Linked DNA regions of Caenorhabditis elegans. The protein of the gene in region 1 purifies or fractionates together with the protein of each later gene. This does not show direct contact. Each region holds a gene or a part of one and is shown on either strand. Other genes may lie near its edges. The genes, in order: Y62F5A.9 and dnj-30.

Evidence for each region.
Region 2: the proteins of Y62F5A.9 (region 1) and dnj-30 fractionate together in Caenorhabditis elegans (co-fractionation; one large-scale study listed by BioGRID). This does not show direct contact.

What each region holds. Positions count from the first base shown.
Region 1 is NC_003280.10:11,534,641-11,541,013, reverse strand, and holds Y62F5A.9 (uncharacterized protein), read left to right. Parts: upstream 1-2,172; 5' UTR 2,173-2,214; coding exon 2,215-2,388; intron 2,389-2,443; coding exon 2,444-2,568; intron 2,569-2,609; exon of another isoform or gene 2,610-2,706; intron 2,707-2,738; exon of another isoform or gene 2,739-2,830; intron 2,831-2,838; exon of another isoform or gene 2,839-3,081; intron 3,082-3,083; exon of another isoform or gene 3,084-3,301; intron 3,302-3,309; exon of another isoform or gene 3,310-3,487; intron 3,488-4,948; coding exon 4,949-5,021; intron 5,022-5,503; coding exon 5,504-5,725; 3' UTR 5,726-5,873; downstream 5,874-6,373. Other genes in the region: gtf-2E2 (Transcription initiation factor IIE subunit beta), read left to right, coding at 1-188; dhgd-1 (D-2-hydroxyglutarate dehydrogenase, mitochondrial), read left to right, coding at 384-576, 650-1,216, 1,273-1,789, 1,852-2,038.
Region 2 is NC_003279.8:2,717,239-2,723,373, forward strand, and holds dnj-30 (J domain-containing protein), read right to left. Parts: upstream 4,238-6,135; 5' UTR 4,232-4,237; coding exon 4,202-4,231; intron 3,753-4,201; coding exon 3,432-3,752; intron 2,030-3,431; coding exon 1,866-2,029; intron 1,092-1,865; coding exon 890-1,091; 3' UTR 789-889; downstream 1-788. Other genes in the region: lin-17 (Frizzled-4), read left to right, coding at 1-117; Y71F9B.6 (Cyclin N-terminal domain-containing protein), read right to left, coding at 5,281-5,526.

The DNA.
Region 1 (6,373 bases):
TGTCTGTGGATCATTTGGATGAGAAGAAAATCGAAGAATATCTCCAGAAGAAGGGTCTCGACGCGATGAAGGATCTGACGCCGAAGGTTCGAATGCAGGCTCCACTGAAAAGAAAAGCCGCGAAGAGACGGTTCAATCAAAAAGTACAAAACGAGCATATGGACGGAGTTTTGGAGGATTACGAATGATTTTAATTACACACTTCTGTTAACAGTACATAAAATGAACTATGATCATTTGTATCTCTTCTGTCTCTTTTTCTTATCACTGCCCAGCCGTTTGTTTTCTTATTGTTTTCGGCAAATCGGTCACCTAGCCGAGCTTTGTCTCCTACTATTTCTTTTGAAGTTTCAAGTTATTTTTTGAAAAGTTTCTGAATTCAGATGTTTCTGAAAATCTTGCCACGAATCAGAAGACCAACTAGAAGCTACGCAGCAGTTCTTGCCGCCAGACATGAAGGATTTGCAAAAGTGATGCAGTCGGATTTAATGGCATTTGAGAATTTTCTCGGGCAAGATGCAGTGAAGAAGGACGATATTACAAATCATACTACAGATTGGACAGGCCAATTTAAAGGTATTTGTATTTTAAGATTAGGTTTATTTAATATTAAATAGGTACTTTAAATATTAAATGTTTTAATTTCCAGGTCCTGGCAGTGTCGTCCTCTACCCGAAGAGCACCGAAGAGGTTTCTGCAATATTGGCGTATTGCTCCAAGAACAAATTGGCAGTAGTCCCACAAGGAGGGAATACAGGACTCGTTGGTGGATCAATTCCAGTACATGATGAAGTTGTTATATCAATGAATAAAATCAACAAGCAATTCTCTTTCGACGACACAATGGGAATTCTCAAGTGTGATTCTGGTTTTATTCTGGAAGACTTGGACAACAAACTTGCAAAACTCGGATATATGATGCCTTTTGATCTCGGAGCCAAAGGATCCTGTCAGATTGGAGGAAATATTGCCACGTGTGCAGGAGGGATTCGGTTGATTCGATACGGAAGTCTTCACGCACATCTTCTCGGGCTCACGGTGGTTCTTCCCGATGAACATGGAACTGTTCTACATTTGGGATCAAGCATTCGGAAGGACAACACAACTTTGCACACTCCACACCTATTCTTGGGAAGTGAAGGGCAGTTGGGTGTTATCACAAGCGTCACAATGACTGCGGTTCCTAAACCGAAAAGTGTACAAAGTGCGATGCTTGGTAGGTTGAATATTTATATAATGGGTTCAAATTTTTCAATTTCTAATTTTTTTCAGGCATCGAATCCTTCAAAAAATGCTGCGAAGTACTGAAGCTTGCAAAATCCAGCCTCACTGAAATCCTTTCCTCCTTCGAACTTCTCGACGATGCTACGATGGAATGTTTGAAAACGAATCTAGGATTGCACCCAGTACTGAATGCTCCAACCCCATTCTCGATCCTTGTCGAAACATCAGGATCCAATGAAGATCACGATATGGAGAAAATGAGCGCATTTTTGGATGAATGCCTCTCAAAAAATCTGATTATCGACGGAGTGCTCGCTGGATCTTCTGCAGAAGCTACGAAGATGTGGCAATTGAGAGAAAGTGCACCATTGGCGGTTACCAGAGATGGATATGTCTATAAGCATGATGTTTCTTTACCATTGGAAAATTATTATGAATTGACGAATGTGATGAAGGAACGATGTGGTTCTTTGGCTAAAAGAATTGTCACTTATGGACATTTGGGAGATGGAAACACTCATTTAAATATTACATCTGAAAAACACAATGAAGAACTTGAAAAATTGTAAGTTTCGAGATTTTTCTTTTTTATAAAATTTTAATTCTATTAATAATTTCAAATTCCAGGCTCTATCCCTTCCTCTACGAATGGGTTGTCGATCACGGCGGGTCAATTTCAGCTGAACATGGAATCGGTCAACTGAAGCTACCGTACTCCACATTCGGAAAAGATCCTGAAGAACGACTTTTGACAAAGAAGCTCAAGAACATTTTCGACCCAAATGGGATTCTCAATCCGTACAAAACGATATAATTCTAATTCTAATTATTAATAACGCGTGTAACAATACGTTTAGTAGCACAACTGTATAAACATTTGACCCATATATCGTCGGTTCTATTCTCTTTAATTATTTGAGCACCTGTTGAAGGGGAAAATGAATCCTCCAACCCCCAAAGAGCCGGGTCAATTCATCATTCTCCACTAAAATGACGATCCTAATTGTCGCTCTTTTTGCTTCCATTGTAGTATTATGCCACGGAGGTACTGTAGAAACTTCACATCCAGCTTCGGATAAAATTATTGGAAAATATATAGAATTATCAATGAATCTTACGATTCTTCTCGCAGATACTGCTATAGATGAGGCTAAAATTCATCAGGTTTGTGATTTTTTTTTTGAGAGAATTTTTTTAAACCAATGTTCAATTATTCTAGTTATCCAAAGATATGGTGTCAAATGATTACGACGAGGATAAAGTGCAACGAGTTTTGGACAAATTCATGGAAAGTCTTCCGGCAGATCAGAAAAAAGATTTTGGAAGACTTTATTTTGATAAAGTGTTAGTTTTAAGTTTAAGTTTAAAAACAGCAAAAAAAGAGCAGGAGGCTCCAGACCTAGGTGATTTTTCACCCGGTGATAGCGAGTTGTTAGAAGTATCTATCACTGCAGAGAAAAACCACCAAGGTCTCTGGGACCCACTTAAAAATAACTCACCTTGATATCAAATGCACCTGTACCCGCACCTTAGCTGATGTACACCCGGTGATAGGATTTCTGATATCTTATCATCATGGCATACATCCACTGAGGTGCGGACAGGAGGTTCGGAGACACCAGAGCCAAGCTGATTTACACCCGGTGATAATCTCAATGACGAGCTTATTACCAAGACGAAATCAGCTGGGCTCTCGGTATATCAGGAATTCAATAATCAGTAGCTGAATGGTAGAATGTAGGGGAAAACTCCAGAAATCGGAATGAGTCACAGGTCCTACTCCAGTTTTTCTCCCGGTGATAGAGACTTTTGGATGCGTTATCACCACGGAAAAAACCGGAACAGGACCTGGCTCACAGAGAAACCACGAGGACCACTGCAAGTGTTCACCCGGTGATACAGATTAGAGAATGTAGCACCGCAACGGACACCCACACTGGTCCAAGGGTTTCTAGAATCGATTTTAAGATATTTTATCTTTCCGCGTCGGGGACCCATGCGAATTTTCACCCGGTGATAGACACTTTGGATGGTCTAGCACTGAAGCGAAAATTGGCGCGGTTCCCCGACAGCGGTGGAGCAAGTGGAAAAGATCGAGCCACTGCTAGTTTCCACCCGGTGATAGTTCTAATGGAAAGTACCACTGTGGAAGAAACCAGCAATGGCTCGATCTGATCCGAGAATAATAGTTGGGAATGGAAATTAGGAGAGGGGAAGAAGGGAGAAAGTGATGGGAGAAAAGAGAAAATAAAAAAACAACTGATGACTGAATGGACCATTTCCATTCCTTTTATACTGCTGACTTGGTGCACCATTGGGTCTCCGCCCATTTGGTGTAGCGCGTTTGGTGTAGAGCAACGTGTCCACTCGGCGTCTCTTCATTTCACACACTCTCTCGGCTCGTTGCGGTCAAATGGTGTGCAGTGTGCGCTCGCGCGCGCGCGCTCACAGCAACGAACAGACGGACGCGCTCGATAAATGGTGGGCCCGATGGTCAACCGGGCAGGTCTAGGAATCGTAGAAAAGAAAGGGAAGAAAGAGGGGAGAAGAAGAAGGAGAAGGTCTGGGAAACACAGATTAGAGACTGGAGACAGGGGTGAAGGAAATTGGATGCGACGGGATGAACGCTAGGCGCCGGACGGCGGAGTTTTTCGGATTCTCTCGCTTCTTCTCGATGTCTAGAATAGGCGCATGCGGAAAGTAGAAGGCGGACAATCTGTTCCATTTTTTTGGAAGAGAGATAGATAGAAGGAGAAGCGAATAAGATTGAAGACGTGGACGGATGACCTCCCGTGTCGGGAAAAAAACCAGAAATAAAAAAGATGGAGCCAGCCAGCAGTGTAATCCGTTTCAAACGAGTCCGCTTTCATCGTTCCGCCGAAATGAGATTGCACTTGAGTGAGGAGAGAAGTTAATAAAAATAAGAAAAAAAAATTCGATTTTCAACTGTGAATATTCATGAGCACTGCATAACAATGTGCTCCAGCACAGAAACATGACGAATTGATGATTGCTAATAAAAATTTCGATTTGGAGAAACGTTTCTATCGAGAAAACACGTTACAGTAGGAAATTCTGTGCCTGTAAATTTTTATGATTGCGAAAAAGAGGTGTGCGCCTTTAAAGGATTACGGTAATTAAAAATTTTAATTTTCGGTGTTTTTAAAGTTTTTTTTTTTTTCGAAAAAAAAGTAAAAGTGATTAAAAAGACAAAATTTGATAAATTTTTGTTGAATTTAAAAAGGCGCACATACATTTTAAGTAAATTCAAACTTTGTTTCTGGGGAGTAGATTTTTCATAAATTTCGATAAAAATAGATTTATTTTTTTAACTCTAATATAACTGTATAAATATTCAAAAAAAAACCTCTAAAAATCCGTGAGAATATTTACTGCATCAACAAATGTTTAAAATTACAGTACTCTTCAAAGGCGCATATGTACCTTTCCGAATTTATTGAAAAACTGTCGTGTCGAGTCCGGATACCGTATTTTTCAGCGCAAAAAAATCGTATAATATCGCGAACATTTGAAAAAAAAATTTTGTTTCTCAGCAGGAAAACCATATTCTTTGAGATCTAGAGCAACAAACCAATGAATTATATTACATGTAAAGGTCCTAGACCACCTGACCAACTGATTGCGCAAGTTTCTAGTGTACACACTCGGGACCAATAACTTATGACGTAACTTTTTATCAAACTATATATACTTTTTCTTCCAGAAAACTCGACTACATAACTTCCAAGGTTCATCGTGTTCTCGGCTTCTACCTAACACGGCATCAAATTCAACGAGTAAGCTAATAATAATATCTCGTGAGAATTGACTATAGTTCCAGCTTATCCACATCTGCTTTAGTGAGCTCTAAATCTTTCGTAATTAGCCCCATGAGATACATATTATTAGGGTCAAGAAATTTCCTAAAATCCAATATTCTCTAATATTCTTCTTGTTTCCCAAGAAGTGCTCATAAACGAACAAAGAACGGTATTTTACGATAGGGATCTGCTAGAGAACAAACATGACGTCATCTGCCACGTCATCTCAGCTGACCCGAACCAACAGACGATGTGTCTCCCATGCACAATGGGGGTGCTAGAACAGGGCCTAGTGTATGTTGGCTCATTACGAAATCTGGGGCAAAGTGGTGGTCCCCTCATTATAGTGGGTCAGATATGACGGGACGATTAGTGAGAGAGAGAGAGAAATACAGGATTAGGATCTAAAATGAATGAGTGGCAGGTGGTGCACATGAATAAAGGGACTTATTTTTCAGCTCAGAGATGTATTGGACAAGAAATTCGTTGAAGGGGCCTCACGATCACAACTTGTAGAGGCGATGGTTGAGGAATTGACGAAGGATGTGAAAAGGGAAAAGGCTGTTAAGGCAATTGAGCAGACTATGAAGGATTTGAAGATTTTCAACAGGAAAAATCCAGGATGGGTGGATAAAGTCGAGGCATTGTTTAGCCATGTGCTTGTTCACGATGAGATGTGATAAATAGATTTCCAATTAATTGAATAATTTATAAATATTTATTGTCGAAAAGTTACACTTCGTTGGTTTTTTGGTTTTTATTTCTGTAAAATTAAAGATAATGTTGAATTTAATAAATTTTAAATATTTTTATTTAATAAATTTTAATCTAAATTTATCTAAACATGCCGAAACTCAGGTTAATATGCATAAATATTTTAAATCCAGACTTTCTAGGCCTGCCAATTTCAAATTTCGTGCGTATTTCGGTGTGCGCAACTGCGCTCCATTGACAATATTATTTGAGGCCCCACGAGGGGAGCAGAACGAAAAGGGGATCTGCAAAAAGGGGATCTGCGAAAAGGGGAGATACGAAAAGGGGAGATACGAAAAGGGGAGCAACGAAAAGGGGAGCTGGCACTGTGCCAAACGCACAAAACGCAATTTTTCTCACGCAACGCACGTTGATTTTTGAAATTTTCTTCTAGAAGATACGCTTAACAACACGCGACGCGTAACATCGGAGCATCGTTGTATTGTTTTCTTTGAGAAAAATAGCGTTTGGCACAGTGCCAGATCCCCTTTTCGTTGCTCCCCTTTTCGTATCTCCCCTTTTCGTATCTCCCCTTTTCGCAGATCCCCTTTTTGCAGATCCCCTTTTCGTTCTGC
Region 2 (6,135 bases), on another chromosome or scaffold:
GAGCCATCAACACGTCCATTGCTCGAGCCACCAACTGCTCCGCCACCACAACCACCGGTATACATGCAAATGGCGACGAATCCTCAGAATTCATGGAGACCCAGTAAGGTCGTCTGAGCGAGATTTTTCCGCGCCCATTTCATCCCAATTTCCCATGACAAAACCGATGATCTTTATATTATTTTTTGTTTGTTTTTAATGCATTCAACCATCATTTCTTCTCTCTTTACTTTTGATTTACGGGTTTTTTCTACTTTTTCCGAAATTTTTTTTCTTCAAGGAAACTATAATAAAAAATTTTTCACAAAAAACTTGTTGAGATTTTACACAATAATGCAGAGGTGGGCGGCAAACGATTTTTTTCCGGCAAATCGGCAATTTGCCGGAATTCAAAATTTCCGGCAAATTGGCAATTTGCCCGAATTGATATTTCCGGCAAACCGGCAAATTGCACGAATTTAAATTTTTGGCAAATCGAAAAATTGCCGAAAATGAATATTTCCCGCAAATCGGCCAATTGCCGGAACTGAAGTTTTCGGCAAATCGGCATACTGGCAATTTCCCGATAAAAATTTGCCGAACGGCAATTCCACTCTTGTATTAATGATGGGAATACGTTTTACTTTTTACTTTTAAATTTGGTTTATCGTTTTTTTTTGAATTTTCAAATAAATTTGGAAAAAATTGAAAATATCCGGAAATTAAATTTAAACAAAAATTAAAACTTCAAAATTTCCAGTTTTCGTAATTTTTTGGAGGTTTTTAATGGTTTTTTTACAAAAAAAATTCGAATAAAATAATTTTTTACAAAAACTTGTTGAGATTTTACACAATAATGATGGGAATATAATGAATGAGAATAAATAGAAAAATTCAAAGAGATCAATAATTATTTCTGAAGTTTAACTTTCGGAGGTTTGAATGCTGCACCCTTCAACGTCTTTCCCTTATCCTCTTTTTTCGCCTTTTTCGCCTGGAAATTTCTCCAGCTTCCGGAACGTTCGTCACGAGATTCTTCGTAGTTTTTCGCGAATTCTTCGGCCAGTTTACGCTTCTCTGCTGCTTGGACTAACGCTTCAGTTGAGCGGCGTCTGAAAAATTTTTGTGATTTTCTTAAAGGCAATTTTTGAATGCAAAAAATTGTTTTCAAATGAGTTTTCAGAAAAATGTAATTTTTAATACAACATTTTTTAGAGCAAAATTCGAAACTTCCCAAGAAATTCTAGATTTTAGATATTTTAACCCGAAATTTTGAGGTTTTCCGCTTTGGAAAATGAGAATTACCAATTATTGTATTTTTCTTTTAAAAAAGTCGGATTTTTATCAATTTATCTTATTTTCTTCAAGGATTTTCAGGAAAACTTCAAAAAATATATGGTTTTGATATAAATAAACCTGAAAATTTTCAGAAATTTTTGGCAAATTCAATTTTTTTTAAATAATTTTTTTCTTAATATCTGTTCAATTTTTGCATTTTTTATTAAAAATTATTCAGTTTTTTGAAATAAATATCTGAAAAATCAATTGTATTTTATTTTTCTTAAAATTAAAAAAGTTTTCTTAAAAAAGAAACAGTAAAATTGCCAAATTTACTTTTTTTTTAATTTTTAAAAAATTGTTTTACATTTTTTACTTGATTTTAAGCAAAAAACCAAAAAAATTACAAAATTAATTTTTTTAAATTGGAATTTTTCTTCTTTTGTTTCTTCTGAAAACTCGGATTTTTGTGATTTTATCTCAATTTTTCTTTGTTATTTCCGATTTTTCTATTCCATTTTTTTTCAATTTTTTCAATTTTTTTCAATTTCTAATTAGAAATTGATCCTAATTCGGTTTTTCTCCAATTTACTATCAATTTCCCGTACTTTTCCTCATTCGCCCTCTCTTCAAGCATCTTTCTCTTCTTCTCTCGATCAGCAAACACTTTTGTTACAGTAATCCACAGAGCTTTCTTGTATCCAGCTGGATCATCTTCTTCAATCACATCTTCTTTTCCATCTTTTCGCAATTTTCGCTTTTTCTCCGACATCTGGAAGAAATTCGGTTTTTTTAAATGAATTTTTGAGAAAAAAAATATACAATTTTTGATTTTTGTTAACGATCTTGGAGGTAGGATTGCACAGTCTCCTCGGCGTCGAATTGGGCTGGGGCGCACTTGCTCACACCTTGGCGCAGCCGGGGGAGGGAGTGAATCTTTTTAGTGTTGAAAAATAAACTTCGTCGTTTTTTAGCGTTGAAACGAATTTTTTCGCAGATTTCGAACTTAAAATTTGTTTATTAGCACAAAATGAAATGAAAGACCATTAAAAGAGAAAATTTGGTCAAAAACTGAAGGAGGAGTAGGGATATTAAAAAATCAACGGTAAAAATGGTGTTTCTCTAAAGAAATCATATTTTTCTTGTATATTTCAAGTCACCCACCTTCGCGATCATCTTCTTCATCCTGAAGATAATTATCAAAAGAGGCGGGGCTGTAATTTTGGAATTCTAGCCTATTTTCCGCGTAATTTCTGAATTTCGGAAAATCCACAAAATGCGCTAGCAAAAACGCGAAACGCGCCAGTAAGCAGTTTTTTGTGCGCTTTCGATGACGAGGAGACTGTGGATTGTGGTTTTTTTTTGGTTTTTTTCAACAAAAAAATTGAAAAATGTATTTTTTAAAATTTTATATATATATATATATTCCCTCGAATTTCGTTCACTTTTCATAATTTTTGTATAAAATTACAATTTTTCTTCGAAGAAACATAATTTTTTGATTAAAATTTGCTTCAAAAATTTTTTTTTTTAATTTTTAGGATACAAACTAATTTTTTTCGTGGTCTTGGATTTTCGAGTGAATTTTAAAAAAACAATTTTTACAAAAAAACGAAAAATTTCCGAATTATATGAAATTTTTTGCGAAACTACGTTTTCTTCACAAAATAATCAAGAAAAAAACGATTTTTTTCCAAAAAAACGTTAAAAAAGTAAATTTTTGATAATTTACTTTTTTTCAATTTTTTGGAAAATTATTTTTAAAATAATACGCTTTTGGTTTATATCAGTAATTTTGTTTTTTTCTAGTTTTTTTTCCTCATTTTTTGAAGAAAAAAAATATAAAAAATAATTGTCTTCAGATTTGTTCAAAAAATATTTTGCGAAAATTGCAAATTTTTGGCTTTTTCTATTTTATTTTCACATCAACATAAATTAGAATTTTTTTTGTTCATTTTCTAAAAAAAAATTTTTTTGGATTTTTCGATTTTCAGTGAAAAACTACAAAATAATGAGAAAAATGGGATGAATTTTTGTGATTTTTCTTTCGTTTTTTTTGATTAAAAAATCGAAAAAAAAAATCCAAATTTCGGCATTTTTTTTTTCCAGAAAAATCCAATTTTTTAAAAAATTTTCTCAGAATTTCCATGCAAATCTTCATAGTTGCTCCGTACCACAATAGCAAGCCGAGCTTTTCCCTCCGTATAACAATCTTTGCATCGATTCAACTCAATCGGATCCTCCATTTGCTTAATCGCCTTCTTCACAATATCAAAAGCTTTGTCAGCACGTTCTCGATCATCTGGATTTTTATCCGGATGCACAAGTAGTGAGAGCTTCTTGTATTTCTTCTTAGCCGCCTCGATATCCGTGTCCAAATCGATTTGGAGCACTTCATATGGGTTAAGGTTCAAATATGTGGAACCGGGCTTCAAAAGTCGCTCGATTTGTTGCTCAGAAGTAAGAGCCGCGTCCTGTTGCTCCGTGGATTTTAGCTGGAAAAATTTAAAAATGTTTTTAAAATTTTTAATGGTTTTTTTCAACTTTTTCAAAAAAAAATTGGTTTTTTTTCAAATTTTTCTCTTGAATTTAAAAATTTTTGAGAATTATTTTTGAATTCCCGCGCATTTTCTGGCCATATTTTGTGGTTTTTCTTTGGATTTTTAAAAATTTCAGCCAAGTTTTCTTTAAAAAATAAAAATTTTATTTGGAATTCGCGATTTTGAAGCCAATTTCAAAGTTTTGGCGAAATTTTATTTTTTTTATAGTTTTATAATTGATAGCCAGCTGAAAAAACTCGCTAAAACTTCAAAATTGGCCCTAAAATCGATATTTCCACATAAAATTAATATTTTTTCGCGGAAAACTGTCTGAAAATTCGAAACATTCCAGAAAAACCAAGAAATGTACACTTTTTTCAAATTTTTTGAAAAAAAAAACTTACATCCTGATAAAATGACTCAAACTGGGACATTTTTTGCTGGAAAAAATTTTTTTTTTAAAATTAGATTTTAGGAAAAATATTAAGGAAAAAAATATATAGACAATAGCGACATTCAACGCAAAAAAATCGAAAATCTGAAGAAAAAATAAGGGAAAAAAAACCAAATTTATTAAATTTGAAAAATGTCGACTAGAAATAATCTCAAAAGGGTCATGGATTGAGTACATAAAAACTAATTGCATATTATTTAAACGCGGAAAAATCCGTATTTTAAAACCAAGTTGCAAACGCGCTCCTCTGCTAAAAGTTGGGTCTCGTTAGAAATGGCGGCCAAATCTAAATATTTTTAACAATTTTCGATGATTTTCACCTCGAAACCAACGAAAAATCATTGAAAACTTTTGAAATTACGGTTTTCTCGCCAATACTTAAAGGTGGACTACGCTCAGTGGGGAAATTGCTTTAAAACATGCCCATGGGGCCACAATGACAGAATATCATGATAAAAAAATTCAAAAAAATTTTCTAGATTTTATGATTTTTTGAAAATTGAAAAAATCACAGTTTTCAACCAATTATTTTTGAATTGAAAATGATTAAAACTCTGATATTCTGAGTTCCGACGACAACAAGCCTGAAATTAGTATATTCACAGTTTTACTCATTTTCAATTACTTTTTAACAAACATTTTGCGTTTGTCTTTTTTATTTCTTTCATTTTCCGAGGAAAAAACATAGAAAATGAAGAAAATCAGTCAAATAACGAGAATAAATAAAATTAATTAATAAAAATAATGCAAGCGCGCTCAATCGAACGAATCCGATTGGTGGAAATTCAAAAATAATTAGGTGAAAACTGTTATTTTTCCAATTTTCAAAAAATTATATAAAATCTAGAAAATTTTTTTGAATTTTTATATCATGATATTCGGTCATTGTGGCCCCATAGGCGTGTTTTAAAGCAATTTCTCCACTGAGCGTAGTCCACCTTTAAGGAGACCCAACTATTATCCGTGGAGCGCGCTTGCACCACGATTTCAAAAAAGCACATTTTTCTGCGTTTACATAATAACAATATTTCACATCTCAAATTGCAATCTATCTACATGTGGTTGAATCTCATCAATTGTTGGCTGAAGCCTGAACTGGAGCACCGAGCAAATTGGAAGCTCATAAGCCAAAAGATCGGATTTCGGCTCGCGGAGCTGATCTTCGGCCTGTTCGATGTACGATTTGATCGTAGACTTCTTGTAATCATTCATTTTAAGGGCGACGAGGAGAGCGGCTCCGGCGACACATTTTCGATTGACTTTTGAGATTAGACCCTGGAAAAAAATTGATTTTAGATTTAAATAGATATGAAAATCTCAAAAAAATTGAAATTTAAAAAAAAACCAGCTTTGATAATAATTATAAACTGATTTTAGCTTAAAATCGACTATAAAATATTTTAAAATTTTTAAAATTGCCTACAGTAACCTTAAAGGCGCATACCCTAATTGCTTTACAAATTTCGCGGCGAGACCCATCCTCCTCCAAATGTGGCCTCCCTGTAACCATTTTCAGATTTTTTCTTGAATTTTCCGACAGTTTCTCAAAGTTTAAGCTTTTAAATAATTTTTTAGACGTAATTTATGCTATTTTCTATTTTTCGTTGCATTATGTCGATAATAAACTAAAATTAAAGTTTTTTGGCCTAAAATTCGCTCTAAAAATTTAGATTTTCTCTGGAAAAAAAGATTTTCGATTTAAATCGATTAGAAACTGTTTTAAAAACTTAAAATTGTCTACAGTAACCTTAAAGGCGCATAGCTTAATTGCTCAACGAGATTCGCGGCGAGACCCATCCTCCTCCAAATGTGGCCTCCCTTTAACCATTTTCAGATTTTTTCTTGAATTTTCCGACAGTTTCTCAAAGTTTAAGCTTTTAAATC